Arabidopsis thaliana: one gene and its partner. The protein of the gene in region 2 interacts with the protein of the main gene of each other region in a pairwise test. Each region holds a gene or a part of one and is shown on either strand. Other genes may lie near its edges.

Region 1 (4,760 bases), on a different chromosome or scaffold from region 2:
TATATATATATATATATATATATATACATAAAGTAAATAATAAGTGGGCTTGGAATTTGAGAAACGGTGGGGTTTCGGAACTTGATGAAACGATTACAAAATGCGATCTTGCAAAAGGTAACAGACTTTTCTCTCTTGTATGATTAATACTAGTGTATATTTTACGAATTTATTTATCTTTTCTTAGGTACAGTTTTTTAACGAAAAATGTCAAATAGGAGGCTAATTCATCAAATCATAATCATGATATCCTCATTTTTATTTTTTTTGTCAAAGATCATGATATCCTCATACAGGTACAGAGTAATAGATTTGCACCTAAGATTTTTCATCATTGCTCCTCCTAATCTATATATTCCTTTTTGGATTCCCAAAATAATAGCAATCGTATAAATTATTTGAGTACTACATCAAATATGAAATCCTAGCTACAAGAAAGTGATAGATGTGTGTATATTCCCATCACATCTCCAGCCATTTTTTTCCATGGAAAATGATTTCAGAATTTAACTTCTAGAGGATTTGGATTTATTTTGGAGAAATAATGATTACAAAATGGTGCAACTATCCTTCTCTATTCGTTTGAACGATTCAAATATGATCCTCCTGCCTAAATATATGGATTTTATGTTCAAAACACGAAATTCGCTAGAAATAGAAGTATTGTATTTTTCCCAAAAAAGAATTATAGTGTTTTGTAGAAATAAAATACAATACAAGAAGAAACTAAATTATTAATTTATTTTATTGAATAAATACATAAAAATAGGTGTATAGAACACATGAACGCCGTTTGAGGGACGTAACGGGACGCCGTGACAAAAGCTGGCTGCCGTTTAAGCGACACGACGTTAACTCCCACTACCTCTTCATCTTTCTCTCGAGTGCCCTGACGCGTTTTCTGCTTTTTGTTCTATCTTTCTTCGTTTTTCCTTTTTCTTATTAAATCAACAAAGAAAACAAATTTGTCTACACGATTTTAGTTAATAGTAATGTTGAGAAAACACATGTAATTCGACGAACAGATACACATTCACTTTTAATCATATATGGAGTAGCAAAAAAAAAAACTGTTTTTAATTTCAAATGTGGTTATTCTTTCTTTTAGACATCAAATTCGAACCAATAATCTTAGTTTGGAAAAGCATAAGTGGAAAAATGTTTATAAGTCTGTAGTTTTCCCACCAACTTAGTTTTTTTTTTTTTGATAAAGACCAAATTAAGGTTCAAATATTGTGAAAGTTGCAAGGCTGCATAGGACATATAATAATGAAAAATATTTGAGTTAATGAATAATTTTCATGCATAGATCAAATTAGTCATTGTTATAACATTTCAACTACCTAAAAATTTTACGTATTGTTGTATACTGCTACCAAAACACAAAACTGTAAGTCTTTTCGCTTGATCCTATAATCGTTCTAAATTTCCAAAAAAAAAAGAAAAAAAAAAAAAAAAAAAAATCTAAAACCTCATAGTTATTTTAACCAAAATACAGACTTTATTAATATCAACAAACATTTTTAAAAAGACCCCTCATCACTATTATATTTCAAAATCAGGCGAGTACAAAACAAATATGAGCATTTTAATCACATGTAAATCTTCGAACAAAACCAATCCAATTGGACCCACCTGCACCTTTTCATTATCCAACATTTATATATTAATCGAAACACTCACATGGATGGATTGGATTGTCTCAACTCTCAACCCAAAATCAAACAAAATATCCAGCAAAACAAAAACTTTCTCTCTCACTGTCTCACACACACAATCTCACCTTCGTCAAGCTTTTGCGAGATGGGTGCGATAAACCAAGGAATAAGCTTGTTTGATGAATCACAAACCGTCATAAACCCTATTAATACCAACCATCTAGGTTTCTTCTTCTCTTTCCCTAGTCACAGCACCTTATCTTCATCATCTTCGTCGTCTTCGTCTTCTCCTTCTTCTCTTGTGTCTCCATTTCTTGGTCATAACTCCCTAAACTCCTTCCTTCATAATAACCCGTCTTCATTCATAAGTCATCCTCAAGATTCCATCAATCTCATGACCAATCTCCCCGAAACCCTAATCTCGTCTTTGTCCTCATCAAAGCAAAGGGACGATCATGATGGTTTTCTTAATCTCGATCATCATCGTCTTACCGGTAGTATTTCATCCCAAAGACCCCTGTCAAATCCATGGTAAGTAGTTACTTACGAAAATACTAAAATTAATCATTATTTTCAAAATAAGTATTTAAATATATAAACCAAAAGCTCGTATATTTCCCTACTAGTTACTTTTGCTTTATTGTACAGAATTTTCAATTAGTTTGAGGATGCACACATGACTCGGCTACTTATATATAAGTAACTAATGTTTATATGTTAATGTGGTTTAGGGCATGGAGTTGTCAAGCGGGATACGGAAGCAGCCAGAAAAACAACCATGGAAGCGAGATTGATGTTGATGATAATGATGATGAGGTTGGCGATGGTGGTGGCATTAATGATGATGATAATGGTCGTCATCATCATCATGATACTCCCAGTCGTCATGATAAACATAACACAGCGTCATTAGGCGTAGTTTCTTCTCTGAAGATGAAGAAGCTTAAGACAAGAAGAAAAGTGAGGGAACCTCGGTTTTGCTTTAAGACACTTAGCGAGGTTGATGTCTTAGATGATGGATATAGATGGAGAAAGTATGGCCAGAAAGTTGTCAAAAACACCCAACATCCCAGGTAATTTAATTTAATTTTATGATTTGAAATTGGTTCCGAGTCTTTCAATTCTCAGCCGTTCTTTAATTAAGATGACTACATATCAGTTCTTCCACTTTTTTGCCTCTCATGATTCCTTGAAGGTTAATGATGACTTCTCATAAGAATTTTACGGTCTTGATCAATCATCAGTTTTTTTTTTTCCAAGTTTTTAACGTAAACTAATATGATGAAAATTTGTAGTGAATTATGAGCCATGTAATGATTAATCATTCATTTACGATTTTTCTAAGGGCAATGAAAATTATTAGTAGAATCTTTCTGGTACGTTTCTCTGTATATATGTAATTAAGTATCAGTTCTGTTATAACAAAAACTTTTGTCCCTCTGGGGATTAGTAGCTATAGAAAAATAGGAAAAGAATATAACCGTTAAGAAAGGAAAAAAGTAATTTCATGTAGAAATATTTGAGTGTTATGTGAGAATGTGAGACATAATGGGGTTGGGTTTCTGTAAGATTCTTTCTCACATGTTGACATTTGACATTTACAAATAATAATGATTTGTTTAGGTAACTTGTATACTCATTTTGTAAAGTTTTATCATGAGCTTTGTGATAAAGTTCCATTAGTTGCCTTAATATCTGTTTGATATTATATCACTCTATATTCAACTATAACTAGTCTAACCAAAAATAAGACTTGTTTCCCATAAAATTTGATATAAGATTAACTAATATATATAATATGTGAATGGCAGGAGCTATTACAGATGCACACAAGACAAGTGTAGAGTGAAGAAGAGAGTGGAGAGATTAGCAGATGACCCAAGAATGGTAATCACTACTTACGAAGGAAGACACCTTCACTCTCCTTCTAATCATCTCGACGACGACTCTCTCTCCACCTCTCACCTGCACCCTCCTCTCTCCAACTTCTTCTGGTGATTTCAATTTGTATTTCCATTGAATCAACCAATATCAAAAATCAATCAACCTTGCCTTGCCTCAAACTAATTATCGTATTATATATTAATCATCAACACCTAGCTCGATAAAAAAAAAGTTACACATATATAACATGTTCTCGTTAGGAAACAGGTATGATCGATGTTTTTATATTTGTAATGTGGACGATGTCACCGTGGTTTGTTTGTGTTTGTAAGATGATTAATGTACCATTTCCAAATTGAGGACTATATAATATATAGTTGAATTGATTTTATAGTTACTCTGTTGGTTGGTTTGTGTGACATTATTTGGTATATAAATGTAGTCCACATTCGAAAAATTTAAAGTTTTTATCATTAAAATTGTACTAACAAAAATTTGGCCGAAAATGCTTTCTATTTTTGACAAAAGGAAATTTAAACTCTCCAAAAAAACGCAGCAAAGACAAATACAAAATTTCGCTCAACGATACCTTCAACAGCTAAAGGAAATATATTTCATTGGGCCTTAGTTTGTAATTGGTGGGCTTTTAAATGTATCTTATTTTAAACGGAGTCAACAGAAAATTATATTGTAATGAGTTCCAAAAAACAGCTTATTGAGTCTATGTTTCAAATTGATGGGCCTTATAATGGGCTTCTTTAAATTTTACACTTGTTCAATAAAGACAGATTACCATAATGAGCCTATAGACGAGGAAAATTCTATTGGGTTTAATGATAGACCCAAGTCCACGAATATAGCGATCACGTGACAAACCAAGAAATTCGACAAATGGATAAGCGCGTTTAAGCACGTGAGCGTCTCGACTCTCTCGATTCCCAAAAGTGTAATGTAAAACCTTAAATAGTGTAATACGTTGATCAACTTAGATTACGAAACCTTATTACGAAAAGAAAACAAAACTATTAAAGAAATAGAAATCATAAGTTACGAGGACATGAAAAGTTGTGACCCGCTTGCTCCGCCGAGTCCGAGGGAGACTCCCACGTGATTCCCTCGTGGACCGCACGTTCGCTACCTTAATCCAAGGTCTTAAATAATCATTTTCATAATACTGTATACTATGTATCAATGTAATTTAGTTAATTTATCTCAAAA
Region 2 (3,874 bases):
GAAACTTATCCAATCATGGTGTTGGTCAATACAGCTGTGTATTTTGTCTTGTTATAATGTTGACTTTGATTTTTTTTTGTTATTTTCAGGTAAATGTGTTTCCGAGACATATATGTTCCATTAACGACACAGTTTCAGCGGAGGAAGCTGCAACAGAGTATGAATTCGCCATCAGACAGATGGTGAGATCACGAACCGTGGCTGCGTCAGACAACAGTGACAGTCCCAGGTTTGATCTGATCTTGCTTGGGATGGGCTCAGATGGACATGTAGCCTCACTCTTCCCGAACCACCCAGCACTTGAGGTGAAGGACGATTGGGTCACATTCCTAACCGACTCTCATAAACCGCCACCAGAGAGAATCACATTCACTTTGCCCGTCATCAACTCAGCTGCTAACGTTGTCGTAGTAGCAACCGGCGAATCCAAAGCCAATGCTATCCACTTAGCAATCGATGATTTGCCCTTACCAGACAGCTCTCTGTCTCTGCCTGCAAGGCTAGTCCACCCGAGCAATGGGAATCTGATTTGGTTTATGGATAAACAAGCGGGGTCTAAGCTTGACAGGTTTAAATTTTCCGAGTAGGATTTAGGTTTTCTTCTTTGAGTCAAAAGCAATTGGTTCTTGTTATTAGTGATGACCCTTTTTGTATGAAGAGCATCCGGTTTAGATACATGACTCTTACTTTTCTAAGCAAGCAAGTTTCACCAAACTACCAAATCTATTAACTATAGCAATAACATGGTAATCAACCTCAAGAAACAATCTAACCTCAAAAACTCTATGAGGTGATAGTGACAGTGTTACACACTCAGGCGAAAACATACTTGTTATCCTACAGGACAAGGTGCATAAGAGAATCCGGTAACGCTTACTTTCATTAGGCATCGCCGTGACTTAGAGCATCAGCCTCTGCTCTGGCCATAGGATCATTTTTGGTATCTGTATCTTCCTCCATCTCTCCTTGTCGATCTTCCGCCAATTTCTTCCTGTGAAGCTCCTCAGCAGTCTCCATGGCAGCCTTGTTCTCAGCTTGCATCTTCAGAATCTCCTTCTCCTGTTGCTGCCTCTCAAACCATGTGTCTGCATCTGCCCAAACTGAAACAAACCAACAACACCAATAAGTCCCATTTGTTAAACAACGAGACAACCTCTCAGCTTAATCATATATACAATCGAGAAGCAAATACAAACTTGACCTAACTTCAAATCCGCAAATCTAACAACACTAATTGCAGAATCAATAATAAATCACAAAGAACACTAATTGCAAACCCTAATTTCATAAACCCCCAAATCAACATTATCAATAGCTCAAATTTCAGAAATCAAAAGGAGAAGAGAAACAGTAATTGGAAACGTACGTGGATGAGCAGCCCAACCCTGTTCACCACCCTTAATTTTCTCAGGGAGAGCATAATTAACAGTGAGAACACGACCATAAAGCTCAGCACCGTCCATATTATCCATAGCAGCAGAAGCGTCTTCTCTCTCAAGAAAAGTAACGAATCCGAAGGATCTATGCTTCTGATTCGCTTGGTCCAACGGCGTCTTCACGTCTTTGATATCGCCGAAAGGTATAAACGCGGCGTGAAGGATCGATTCGTTAACTTCATCAGCTAAACCTCCTACGTATAAAGTGTTCTTCTGCATCGCTTGTTGCTGTTGAACTGCCGCCATTGTTGAAATCTGTTTCTTCGAATTCCTTCTCGCTTCTACTTCTACTTCTCAGGGAATTACTGGAAAACACCAGAGAGAAGACGATACCGATATTTTTTTTCTTTTTTTGTTTCCATCGTATAAATGGGCTTTTTGGCGGATTGGCCCAATAATACATATGTGTTTTTGGCGGGTCGGCCCAATAAATTTTGTTTTGAGATTATAAAATTTCCTTATTACCTTTTTGTTTTTTTGACATCAAGCCAAAAAGTATCCCAACAATTTTTTTTTTGCCACCCCATATATTTATTTTTTGCTTTTTTTTTAAGCATATTTATTTTTTTGCTAAACTACCACCGAATATGACAATTGATACATTCACGTATTATTATTCAAACGCCATAATCAACGGATCAACCAAATAGACAAAAAAAACAGTCAAAATATTGTTCAGATTTCAGAAGTTTACTTCGTAGGTATCTAAATGTTTAGTTTCCTTTAATTTTTTGTTCCATTTGGAGCCTATTTTAAAAAAAACTTGAGTTAAACTAAGCCCAAAAATATAATGCTTTATGCATGCTAAGATTAGCCAGATGTTTAAAATAATTTGATATATATATATATATATATATCTTAAAAATATCTTGTAAACTAAGGCGAGCTTTAAGACTAATGCATTTTGTTAAATTCAAGTCAAATTAACAAGCATGCACATCATCACGTCCACATAGAAGCTCTCCGTTTAGTTTATCAATTGCTTGAAACGTTCCTCCTCCATTACTCCTCTGTTTCAAGGAGTTATTAAAGTTTAAAATTCATTCAAGGAGATATTAAAATTAAAAATAAATATAACCTTACCTTGTAAAAGTTGACGGCGACAAAATTGGCCCATCGGTTCCCTGCGGCTACGTAACATGTCTTAATCATATCGAGAAGTTGCTCAGAGTTCTCCTCACAAGTCAATATCTTAACCGGAACTGTCTTGAAATGGTTTACCGAAACCAAAGCTTTCGTTTTATCGGTTAACAGTGCAGAATCTGCTCTATTGCTACATTCATCTGGTTTAACTCCATCGTCTCCATCTAACAATCAATACCACGTTGGGATTAATCCGTGATATCTAAACAAACTAAAATTAAACCGGAATTTTGGTATCTCATCACACTCACATTGATTTTCCACCATGTAATTCCACTGGTAAGCTATTCCTTCGGTTTCTTGCTTAGATTTAGCTGAAGTGAAAACGATTAACCGGTGGTTATTGGCGACCATATCCTTAACCAACGGCCAATCTTGGCCACCTATAGGCATATTTTGAACCGGAAACCAAAATTTCTTCAAACCGGAATCGGTAAATACTTTGGTTAACCCGTTTTGCGATTTGACGTAATCCTCCAAGATCAATGTCACGATCTCTGATGGATTCGCTGTCAAGAACGCGAATATCTCCTTGAATGTGTCTATCGCCCGATTCTAAAAAAGTGACATAACAAAACAATACAAGCCAAATTAAATCATTTATACCAAAACATTGCATGTTAGGATATTTTCTCTTCCAATAAAAGACAAAACTAACGCTCCAATTGTTTCAAAAGCAAATAATTATGTGTCTCACAATACATTTTGCAAATTGAAAACACAAACGTGTTGCACAAACACACACACACACACACACACACTAGGGTAAACCAAAAAGGGAGATTATTTTGAAAATGCCAAAAAAAGTTGTGTTCTTTTGTTTATTACTTTCTTATATTCTAAACCAGTCTCTATTTTCAAACGTTTGCTAAATAATTGTTTTGGTTTGACTCGGTTTTCTTTTGGTTAGAGAAATTTAGAGATTAAACTTACAAATTTGGTGAACTCAAAGCATTGTTCGTCGAAGGAATGGCAAAACCATACGTCTCCTTCGTAATCGTACGTATCCAACATCAATGCTCGAACACCACTCTGAACAAAAACATAACATTCACAAGATAGAAAAATAATAATAATGAAGTAACATATATTTTTTGTCTATTGATTAATAAAACGCACGTTGAGTTGTTGAACTATAGTATCTTCTTGGGTCGCCACATGAAGCGCTTTCCCTTCAATGGCATATGAATTGTGGGTCGTCAAAAATGCATATTTATTAAACGGCATCGAATTGTTCTGTAACAAAGAAAAAAAATTCAGTAGAAGAGTTAAGCCCCACATAGTCAAGAGTTGCA

Evidence for each region.
Region 1: the proteins of ATE1 (region 2) and WRKY13 interact in a two-hybrid assay, tested with the Arabidopsis thaliana proteins (one large-scale study listed by BioGRID).

Annotation. Positions count from the first base shown.
Region 1 is NC_003075.7:18,331,833-18,336,592, reverse strand, and holds WRKY13 (WRKY DNA-binding protein 13), read left to right. Parts: upstream 1-1,699; 5' UTR 1,700-1,803; coding exon 1,804-2,189; intron 2,190-2,389; coding exon 2,390-2,731; intron 2,732-3,469; coding exon 3,470-3,656; 3' UTR 3,657-3,987; downstream 3,988-4,760. UniProt on the Arabidopsis thaliana protein: Transcription factor. Interacts specifically with the W box (5'-(T)TGAC[CT]-3'), a frequently occurring elicitor-responsive cis-acting element.
Region 2 is NC_003070.9:4,691,188-4,695,061, reverse strand, and holds ATE1 (ATPase E1), read right to left. Parts: upstream 1,781-3,874; 5' UTR 1,683-1,780; coding exon 1,367-1,682; intron 1,299-1,366; exon of another isoform or gene 1,101-1,298; coding exon 883-1,100; 3' UTR 652-882; downstream 1-651. Other genes in the region: PGL1 (6-phosphogluconolactonase 1), read left to right, coding at 90-587; AT1G13680 (PLC-like phosphodiesterases superfamily protein), read right to left, coding at 2,360-2,446, 2,520-2,743, 2,831-3,134, 3,513-3,611, 3,699-3,815.